2 linked regions of the Sus scrofa genome follow. The protein of the gene in region 1 binds, or shares a complex with, the protein of each later gene. Links are inferred from orthologs where the notes say so. Each region holds a gene or a part of one and is shown on either strand. Other genes may lie near its edges.

Evidence for each region.
Region 2: the proteins of INTS9 (region 1) and BRAT1 are in contact, whole or in part, in a cryo-EM structure (PDB 8UIB), measured with the Homo sapiens proteins. The link is inferred for Sus scrofa from reciprocal best matches to the Homo sapiens genes INTS9 and BRAT1. Residues at the interface, in NP_060720.2 of Homo sapiens: Gly276, Met277, Gly279, Glu280, Cys282, Ser283, Asn284, Ala286, Leu287, Arg290, Asn291, Tyr315, Asp317, Ser318, Ala319, Gly320, Ser483, His484; in NP_689956.2 of Homo sapiens: Ala406, Pro407, Cys416, Pro460, Gln506, Lys507, Arg508, Cys510, His511, Pro512, Arg517, Glu545, Leu549, Gln552, Asp556, Pro557.

What each region holds. Positions count from the first base shown.
Region 1 is NC_010456.5:12,689,312-12,694,234, forward strand, and holds the start of INTS9 (integrator complex subunit 9), read right to left. Parts: upstream 3,130-4,923; 5' UTR 2,825-3,129; coding exon 2,816-2,824; intron 384-2,815; exon of another isoform or gene 296-383; coding exon of another isoform or gene 287-295; intron 1-286. UniProt on the Homo sapiens protein: Component of the integrator complex, a multiprotein complex that terminates RNA polymerase II (Pol II) transcription in the promoter-proximal region of genes.
Region 2 is NC_010445.4:1,904,113-1,908,970, forward strand, and holds the start of BRAT1 (BRCA1-associated ATM activator 1), read left to right. Parts: upstream 1-1,535; 5' UTR 1,536-1,768; intron 1,769-2,577; 5' UTR 2,578-2,593; coding exon 2,594-2,720; intron 2,721-4,858. UniProt on the Homo sapiens protein: Component of a multiprotein complex required for the assembly of the RNA endonuclease module of the integrator complex.

The sequences.
Region 1 (4,923 bases):
TCTTTTTAACTCCAAAGGTTGTTGCTTCTTGTAATATTTCAACTTCACCCTTTAATCTATTCTCAACAATATTCACGGACTTTGACAATCCTTCAGAAATGATTTATTCAACTACTATTTAGGAGCATCACACAATGGGGGTGTGGGAATATGAAGAGTCTGTAAGAAGTAGGACAGACATAAGACCAATGATTACAAGTGCTATCAAAGGAAGTTTGCCATTGAAACATATAAAAGGGGTACCTAATTCAAGGAAACACTAAAGAAGTGCTATTTAAACACAGACCTGAAACATGAAGAAATGAGCCAGGCAAAAAGTGTTGGAGGCAATGGAACACACTTAAAGTCCCAGAGGCAAAAGAGAGCAGGCGGACTTCAAGGAACTGAAAGACATACAATACAAACGGAACAAGGAGGTCAAGAGAGGAGAGCTAGACATTAGCCTGGAGAAGTCAGCAGGGCCAGAATCTACAGGATCAAGCAAGTCAAGTCAAGAATTTTAAGGAGTTCCCTTGTGGCTCAGCAGGTTAAGGATCCAGCATTGACAATGCTGTGGCTTGGGTCTGATCCCTGGCCTAGGAACTTCTGTATGCCGCAAGTGCGGCCAAAAAACCCCTCCCAAACCAAAAATAAAAAATAAAAACCCCAAAACCACAAAACTCTAAAACAGAACAACAAAAAAATAATTTTAAGACTATCCTAAGGGCAAAGGAAGCTACCAAAGGGTTTTAAAGGAACACTGCAATTTAAAACAACTTCTGGGCATGGAGTAGGGAATGGATTTGAGGGTGGGAGACCAGTTAGAAGGTTTTGTTGAATTTCAAGTGTCAAGTGAAAAGAGCCCCTACAAAGGCTGTATTGGTGGTACTGGAGAGAAACAGACCAGTTTAAGAACTGCAGAATCACCAAGATATGGTCATAGATTGTACGTGGGAAGGGTGTTTGGGGAAGTCATAATCTCCAAAACAAGAATGTACTCTATAAAAAATATTTCTGTGTTTCATGATAGAAATACAAAACATGGTTTATCACATATTCAGGAAGCAGTACACAAAGTTAAAAATTTTTAGGCCCTAGGAAAATTTATTCCAACTCTATGGGAGGCATGATACAAAAAAGAAGCCTGCTTACTGAGTGTCAGTGTTCTTGAAACACTTTGCTGTGTCAATAGATATTCTCACAGAATCATCAACTACCTTATTCCTCTAAGGCATTTTATGATTCTTGAAAGAAAAATAGTTTCTCTTTCCCCCTTTTTTATCTTCTTTAAATGAGGTAAGCAGGAGGATTTCATAAGCAAACCAAAGCATATGTAAACTAAACCCTAACTCTCTGATACCCTCAGCAAATGAGCTATTATGGAAAAGAACTGTTTTCCATTTTCCTGCCTCTGCACCGAGCATACATACCAAATGTGATTTATCCTTTATCAAGAAAACATGGTCTTTATTTCAAGCACTCAGGTGCAAAGCTCTTTTGCTTCTAAAGCTGAACCCTCTTCAAGGAAAGCCCTAGCCTACTCACCTTGCTTAACTGTTAAAGAGTCTCCTTTCCATAGAGCTGTCTCCCACTCCCCCAACCCCCATCATCCTCTAAATCCCTAAACACTGAACATGCTTCCATTTACCATGAAAACAGTGAAATATCATTTATTACTTTTGTATCTTCTTCATTGCACACTTCTTTTGGATATGGGTGGTGACTTTCAATTTGGCATTTTTACATGTCTTGAAAACTGACCCAGAAGCAAATTGATATCCTCAAGGTTTACTGATCTGTGTCCTTCTCCTTACCTAAACAGCTTTAGTGTTGAATCTACTTCTATTTCTCTGACTCCTCAGAAAACAGCTGAAACTCTGAAGAGCACAGGCCCTTAGCGTGTGTGTGCAGGCACCAGCCTGGGCTGCACACTTTGGAAAAGCATGCTCAAACAATTAAGAAAATGCACATTTTATTTTTCTACTAAAATTACAGGAAAGTAAAGATTTACAACACTTGGCTGCAGGAATGCGAATTTTAAGAGGTTGAGAAACAGCATCTCACACCTGCTTTTCTACTAATACCATACAGTTGGAATAAACTAGTTAAAGTAGCTAAATCTGTGTGCACACAGAGTAACGTGGCTCAAAATAAAGGCCTGAGCAGCCTCCCTACAAGCCAAGTGTTTTGAGTTTTGTGATGCAGAGAATTTTCCAGGTATCCTGGCAGGCTCCATCTAATCTTGGCTCATACAGTCCCTACAGCCCTAGACTGAATGCCTTGACACTTAAACCATATTATACAGGGTTTAAAACTTAAATCTTCCACGATCATACCATACCATGATCTCGTCCTTCTCTGAATATCAAAGACAGTTAGGAGTCTATAACAGAAAACTTAAGTGATTACTCTGCCCAATATTTTCTAAACTCTGCTCATATGTAACCAAAGCCTTTTCAAAAACTGTAAGAAACGCTAATCAAACGCCAATCGCGTGGAAAGAAGTTAACCAATTATAAAACTCACATGGCAGCTGTGAAATCAGTCAAACCTAGTTCATAAAGCCCAACCTCAGTTCGTGTGTGAAGTAAGGTGACAGAGTCAATCTCTTATCTAACCACAGGAGCCGCCAAGGGATAAATAAGATCTGGGGGTCGGGGGTGGGAGGTGGGATTCAAACTCAACCACAAGGAGCAGCTTTCCTTGGTTCACCCCACTTTCTAAGTCTCTAACTGCCACCCCTCTTCCGCGACGGTTCCCACCACAAGTTGGAAACGACGAAGTCCAAAAGGATATGGCATCACCTTTGCCCTCTGACCTAGGAGCAGAGACTCACCAATTTCATATTGGACTTTAGGTTGTTCAATATCAGTCACTGGACTCCTCAGAACCAGAAAGCCTCTTCCGGTTCAATCTCCGCCACCCGCCAGCCTCGAGCATCGCGGGACATGCAGTCTTTCTTCCCTACGCCCCCTTCCGGATGCATCATGGGAAATGTAGTCCTGTCTTCTTGCATCATGGGAACTGTGGTCATCTTTCCTTTTTCTCTCTTTCCTCCTTCCTTCGGCTCAAATTCTTCCCCGCCGCCAAATCATTCTCCCTCTCCATCCCAGCATGATATCATGTCCCCTGTCTGGGCCCAGAGCCCACGGTATTCTGGGATGTGTAGTCCCTACGACTCTGGCGCCCCTTTCCCCTCCTCCCTGTGGGAAGGCGAATGGCGCAGGTCTTGCCGGGAGCTGTAGTCCCCCAGGGCCTCCGGGCGCCGAGTCCCGCGCTTTTACTCGAGGGAGTAAGAAACTACAACTCCCAGGGCCGCCCGGCGGCAGCAGGTGGGAGCGGGGCTGTTGATATCAATATGGCGGTTGTCAGCCAGACAAAGACAGTCAGTCTGATGTGATTGAGACAAGGGAGGTTTTCAGGGGGAGACTGGGAGATAGGGGCCTCCCCTCCCCCTTCTCCTCTTCCTGCGCCGGCCTCAACCCCTCCCCAGTCCCCTCCCGACGGGCGCCCCACGCGGAAGACACCCCTCCCCCTCCCGCTTTCCCCTCCTCCCTACCTCAGCCCTTCGTACTGGGACGTTGGGGAGGGGGCTGTGCCGGGCGGAGAGAACTCAGCAAGGATTCTGAGGTGAGTCGAGCGATTTGGAAGGCGGGCTCCCTCAAGTCTCTTTCTTCACTTCTTTCTCTTCACTTTTTTTCTTTTTTCTTTTTGGAGGGGTTTGGGAGAGAAAGTGAGTGGGCCGGGGGTGGGTCTCTTAGGCGGCCCGACTGAGAGGAGGGAGGAAGCGTGGGGCTTCCGAGGGGGGTGACCCGGACGCAGGGTCTGGGGTGGGGCAGTTTGTGGGGGGCGAAAATGGAAAGGCGTCGGCTGCTCCCTAACTCTTTCCTCCTGGTTACCTCCTTGGTGGGCGGAAGGTTTGAATCCTGGAGGTGGGGTCTCTTGTTTGGAGTTTGGGAAACTGTGAGGGGAATTTGAGGTGTGGGTTTGTTTGGGGTGCAGAACTGTATTTGAAACTGGGTGACGTGTACTTGGGTGATGTGTTAGCCTTGAATAAATGTCTCTAGAGAGGAAGTTCGGGAGACGGAGTCGGAGCTTTTAGCTGGGCCTGGGCGGAGAAGCGTGCGCGAGGTGCGGGTCCTGGACCTCTGGGCTGGCGCCGCGGCGCGGGGTGGCCGTGGGGAGCAAGTCGTTTGTGTCCCATCGCCCGCTCACACTCCTTCTCCCATCCTCCCAGGGACACATCCCAACCCCAAACTCAGGGTAGGAGCACTGTAGACGTGAGATGCTGTGTGGATGGCTTTTTGCATCCCGAAGTCGGTAGCTAGGTGGGAAAGGAAAAGTGTTCTTAATATTTTATTCCGGAACCGTGTTTTGGTTACACTGTTGGGGCTACTTTGAAACGAGTCCTCCACCCACCGTTACCCCGAAACAGTAGGTGGAGGGATCTCGTTGCCGTCTTCGTGTTCAGTAGATTAAACACTAGTTAACATTCGGGGGCGTGGGGCGGGGGTCGAGAGTGCTGGTATGTGTACGCGTCTCTTTCTGGGTGTCAACTGAAGACACAGAATAACTGTTGTATATCCTGAGATAGGGCGATTTATTTTCGTAGTAGGAGAAACTGTTGGAAATTATTGGGGGTCCGGGGCGGGGGTGGGGGGAATCGCCGAAAGGCGCTGCTTGTATTTTTCCTCTACCCCACCCTGTTCTGTCTCGCATTTGTTTGAAACCTGGTGTGGAAAAGACGGGAAACATTGGGTGAGTGAGGGGGAGAATGCAGTTAGCATTAAAGATACTATACCATGTAAAGTTGAATGCTGGTAAAAAGTGATTGCTTTTATTTACCTCGGAGCTTTAAAAACCCTCTGTATCATATAGGGTAGAGTGATGTGACTAGTTCATTTCTTTGGGATTCTGCAGGTATTGAAACCTTTGCCTTCTCTA
Region 2 (4,858 bases), on another chromosome or scaffold:
GCTCTGATTAGACCCCTAGCCGGGGAACCTCCATATGCCACGGGTGTGGCCCTAAAAAGGCAAAAAAAAAAAAAAAAAAGAGTCTATGATCTTCTTTTCCTCAGTTTACTCATCTCCACAACAAAGGGGGTGAGCCACACAGTGGTCCAAGTCTATTTTCCGGGACGCAGGGTAAATTGAGTGGGTTAATGGTCAGGAGCTCAGGTTTAGTAGACTCACTGTCATCTCTGTGTCTGTGAAGTGAAGACAGTTTCAGGGCTTTCGTTGGCACTGAAGGAGATTAGAGATAAAATTCAGGACAGTGCCTGGTACATGGTAATGTTGGGGAAATGGCTTGGATCGTTGGTGCCAGAAAATGGGACACATGAACACGGGGCGATCTCGACAAGGCAGAAGGCCGCTGGGACTCAAAAAGCACAGGCTTAGAAGAAAAGCCCTCCCTATTTATCCCTAGGCAGGTGGTGGACCTGTCCTCTTCCCATTGGTCAGGTCAGGGCACACATTCTTCTCTGTTGGCTCATTTGAAACAAATTGTTACTGGGAGAAGAGGGAAAGAGGAGGGGTGTCCCAGGAGGGCATTTCAGCCAAAAACAGAGCAAAATGGAGTCACCAAGGTTTCCTTTGATAGAAAAGACATTATGTTACTTTCCACAGTAACACCTCAAAAACCAGATACTACCAGATAACACTTTGCTGCTGGTGCAATTATTTTTATTTCTTCCGAAATTATCCACTTCACTTATTGGTGCTCCTTTGCTCTGTGAAGCCCTGTTAGCAGGCCTCTCACTTTCTTAATAACGTCCATCTGCTTCCTCCGGTACTGTCCGTGGGGCAGGTGAGTGCTTTTAGGACTTCAGCTACCCACGCACCAGTGCCTCTTGCTCCTCTCCCACTCCTGGGTTTCTGCAAACCCCCAGCCCTTCCTGCATCTATTAATTCACTTACTTTCTCTGATTTAATTACAGACGCAAATTCTCATGATTCCACTTATAACTTTTTGATTTTACACTGGTGAGAAAACAGCAATACATTCGGTGGAAACCGGACTTCGAATTTTGAATTCTGATCTTTTCCCAGCTGGGGGTATGCGCTAGGATACATTCCTGGTGCTGGACAGAGGCGGGGAACTGCAGCTCCCCCTCAGTCATGCAATCATCAGGGTAAACAACCGGACACTTACAACCATTCCGTACCAACAACCACTCTGCTTTTCACTTTCAATACAGTATTCCACCAATTACATGACATAGTCAATGCTTTATCATAAAATAGGCTTCGAGTTAGATGATTTTGTCCAACTGCAGAGCGAGTGTAGGGTAAACTAGGCTAAGCTATGTACAGGGGGCAAGGTGCATTCAATGCACCTTGGCCTCTGAATGAAACCCCATGGACCAGTACAGAGAAATCACCAGCCTACCGCCAGGTGAGGCATTGCTTTCCTTGCCAGCCCAAACACGTGGGCCCTCGGCTGCCGAGGCCACGCCCCTTCCGCCGGAAGCTCCGCCTTCCAGGCGCAAAGCCTGCTGGACGCCCGAGCGCGTCCAATGAGCGTCCAGGAGGGCGTGATGGGCAAGCGCGGCGAGTTTGGCGGCGTCCGGTTCCCCGCAGCCTGAGCTCGTTCCCCGAGCCTGGGCGCTCTGGGCTTTCAGCGTGGCCTCCGCGGCGCTTCCCCGGATCCCTACGCCCGCCGTCCCCGTCCTCGTCCCCCCCAGGCCGGCCGGTGGCGCGGTCCGGGGCGGGGCCTGCGGCGGCTGAGGGGCGCGAGCAGGTGAGATGCGCGCCGGGACGAGGATTGCGGTCGCTGTAGTGGGCTTGGCTGGGAACCGGTTCGGGGCCCGGGCGAGGGCAGGGAGCTCCGTAGGGCCCGCGTGCGCCGCCTGGCCTGGGGTCTGTGACCACCGCCGCCGCCGGCCTGGCGCCCTCAGCGGCGTTCCCAGGGAGGGCGCCTTCCGCAAGGACTTAGCCTGGGCAGGGGTGGACAGACGGACACCCAGCCCAGGCAGGCCTGCTCCGGACCCTGGCAGAGTCCCACCCTCCCGCAGGAGCCCCCCTGCCCACAGCCCGCCGGGCTCCCCAGTCCTCTCCCGGGCCGCGCACGCAGGTGCACTTGCCGCGCCCAGCTAGGAACGGACAGTGGGCAGAGTGCCTTCCCCACCGCACACGCCGCTGGCTGCAGGGTTTTCACACTGACCCTGAGAGGGACAGACAGACACTTCCATCTGGCCTGCCCCCTACAAGTGGCTGGCCCCAGAGTGTGCCCACGTCCCTCACTGGCTCACCTGCAGCCTAGGTCAGCCTCACCCTCTTCTCCCACCGAAATCTAAGGTTGGCCGATTTTCGTCTCCTGCGGCCTCATGGTTTACTCCAGACTCCCTTCCATCTCTGCCTCCACAATTGAGGGCTCTGCTTGCTCGTGACAATCTCCCATCCTACCCAAGCTGAGGCTTTTCATCCATCCCGGCAGCTTAGAGTTTCCACCTGAGGATTGCGGTCCCCTGGCCTGAGATGAAAGGGGAGGCCTGGGGGCTTCCCGTGACCAGGGCAGGTGGGACCTGGCCCTGACATTTCCTTTTGCAGGAACTGCAGCTTCATCATGGACCCGGAGTGCTCCCGGCTCCTCCCGGCTCTCTGCGCCGTCCTGGCAGACCCCCGGCAGCCTGTGGCAGATGATACTTGCTTGGAGAAGCTGCTGGACTGGTTTAAAACAATAACTGAAGCAGGTGAGGGTGAGGCTGCCACTGTTGACTTTCCCTAGAGGCTAGAGGGGGTAGGGCTGCCCTCTTCTGTCTCTCTGGTGGCATTCTGTCACATCTTGAAGATTCCTCCTGGATTTGGGGAACGGCAAGCTGAGCTTGAGGGGGTGATGGGGACAGCTTGAGCTGCAGGCCTCCCGTTGTTCAGGCCGTGCTCCGTGGCTGCTGAGGACACAGACCAGCTTATTCTGTTGTTAGCATTGCGTTTTTCTGTTCTAAAAATCGGTTTTTCTTTCTAATTATGCAATACATATTTTTAAAATACAACTTGAGCAGCACAGAGGAATAAAGAGAAAAATGAAACCACTCTGAACCCTTTTATTTCCATCCAGGCTTTTTCTTGACACGTCATAAAGAGGTAGTTTTCTATAAAAACGAGATCATACCATATACATACAGACTTTCTCTCCTTCTGTCCTAGTGCGTGTTTTCCCACGGACGCACTGGTGTTATTGACTGTTATTTGCTCTATGAATAGACCTTAATATTATAATTAGTTCACCATCGTTTGATGTTTGTGTTTCTGATGTGTCATCATTATAAATAACGGGAGTTCTCTTGTGGTGCAGTGGGTTAAGGATCTGGCATTGTCACTGCAGCAGCTTGGGTCACTGCTCTGGTGTGGGTTTGACCCCCAAGGAACCTCCATACTGTTCTCCATAGTGGCTGCACCAGTTTACATTCCCACCATCAGGATAGAGGGTTCCTTTTTCTCCACACCCTCTCCCGCATTTGTTATTTGTAGACTTCTTAATGATTAAAAAGTATTTCTGAATAGCTTTATTTGTGATATAATTTCCATACCATGGAATTGACCCATTTATTATCTTTTTTTTTTTTTTTTTTTCTTTTGACACTACACCTGTGGCATATTGAAGCTTCTGGGCTAGGGGTTGAATCAGAGCTGCAGCTGTGACCCATGCAGTTTGTGCCAACACCAGATCCTTGAGGCACTGAGTGAGGTCAGGGATTGAACCTGTATCCTCATGGACACTTGTCAGGTTCTAGCTGAGCCACAATGGGAACTCCAGAATTGACCCATTTGAAGTGGTATTTATTTATTTATTTATTTTGCCTTTTTTTTGCTATTTCTTGGGCCGCTCCCACAGCATATGGAGGTTCCCTGGGTAGGGGTCGAATCGGAGCTGCAGCCATCGGCCTAGGCCAGAGCCACAGCAACGCAGGATCCGAGCCGCGTCTGTAACCTACACCACAGCTCACGGCAACGCCAGATCCTTAACCCACTGAGCAAGGGCAGGGACCGAACCCGCAGCCTCATGGTTCCTAGTCGGATTCGTTAACCACTGCGCCACGACGGGAACTCCTAAAGTGGTTTTTAGAAGTCCCCTGGTGGTTAAGGATCCAAGCATTGTCACTGCTGTGACTTGGGTTCGATCCCTGGTCCAGGAACTTCTGCATGCCATGGGCGCGGCCAAAAAAGTGAGTATTCGTAAATTCATTGCTGGCCTACACCATGGCCGTAGCAATGCAGGATCTGAGCTGTGTCTGTGACCTGCACCACAGCTCACAGTGACGCTGGATCCTTAACCCACTGAGCGAGGCCAGGGATTGAAACCACATCTTCATGGATACTAGTCAGGTTCCTTCCCACTGTGCCACATTGGTAACTCCCACTTTCATCTTCTTAAAGGAGACCTGGTATCCCTTAGCCGGTCATCTGTCCCTCCTCGCCTAGCCTGTGTTTGTTTTCCTCACTATTCTCCCTGATGAAAAGAGAATAGTCTTCCTTAGTTCAAGTTTAGGTCATTAAAACCGGTTATGTTTTTGCTAATCTGAATCGTTTTTGAGAGAGAAGTGAAAATCTTATACTTAAGATTTTGGGTCGACAGTTTTTCTTTGAAATTCTATCTCCCCCCTTATATATTTTGAAGTTAGATGAGGTATGTGCAAGCTTAGACTGTCATATCTTCCAGGATTTGTGTCTTTGAGCAATGACTTGCTCGAGCCATGAGGAAAGATTTTTACTTTAAAGTCAGTTTTGTCTGATCGCACTCTTGCTGCCGCAGCTTTTTAAAAATTAGTGTTTGCCAACTATCTTGTTGCCCTTTCCTCTGGCCTTCTGTGCCGTCAGGCTTCATCGTTTC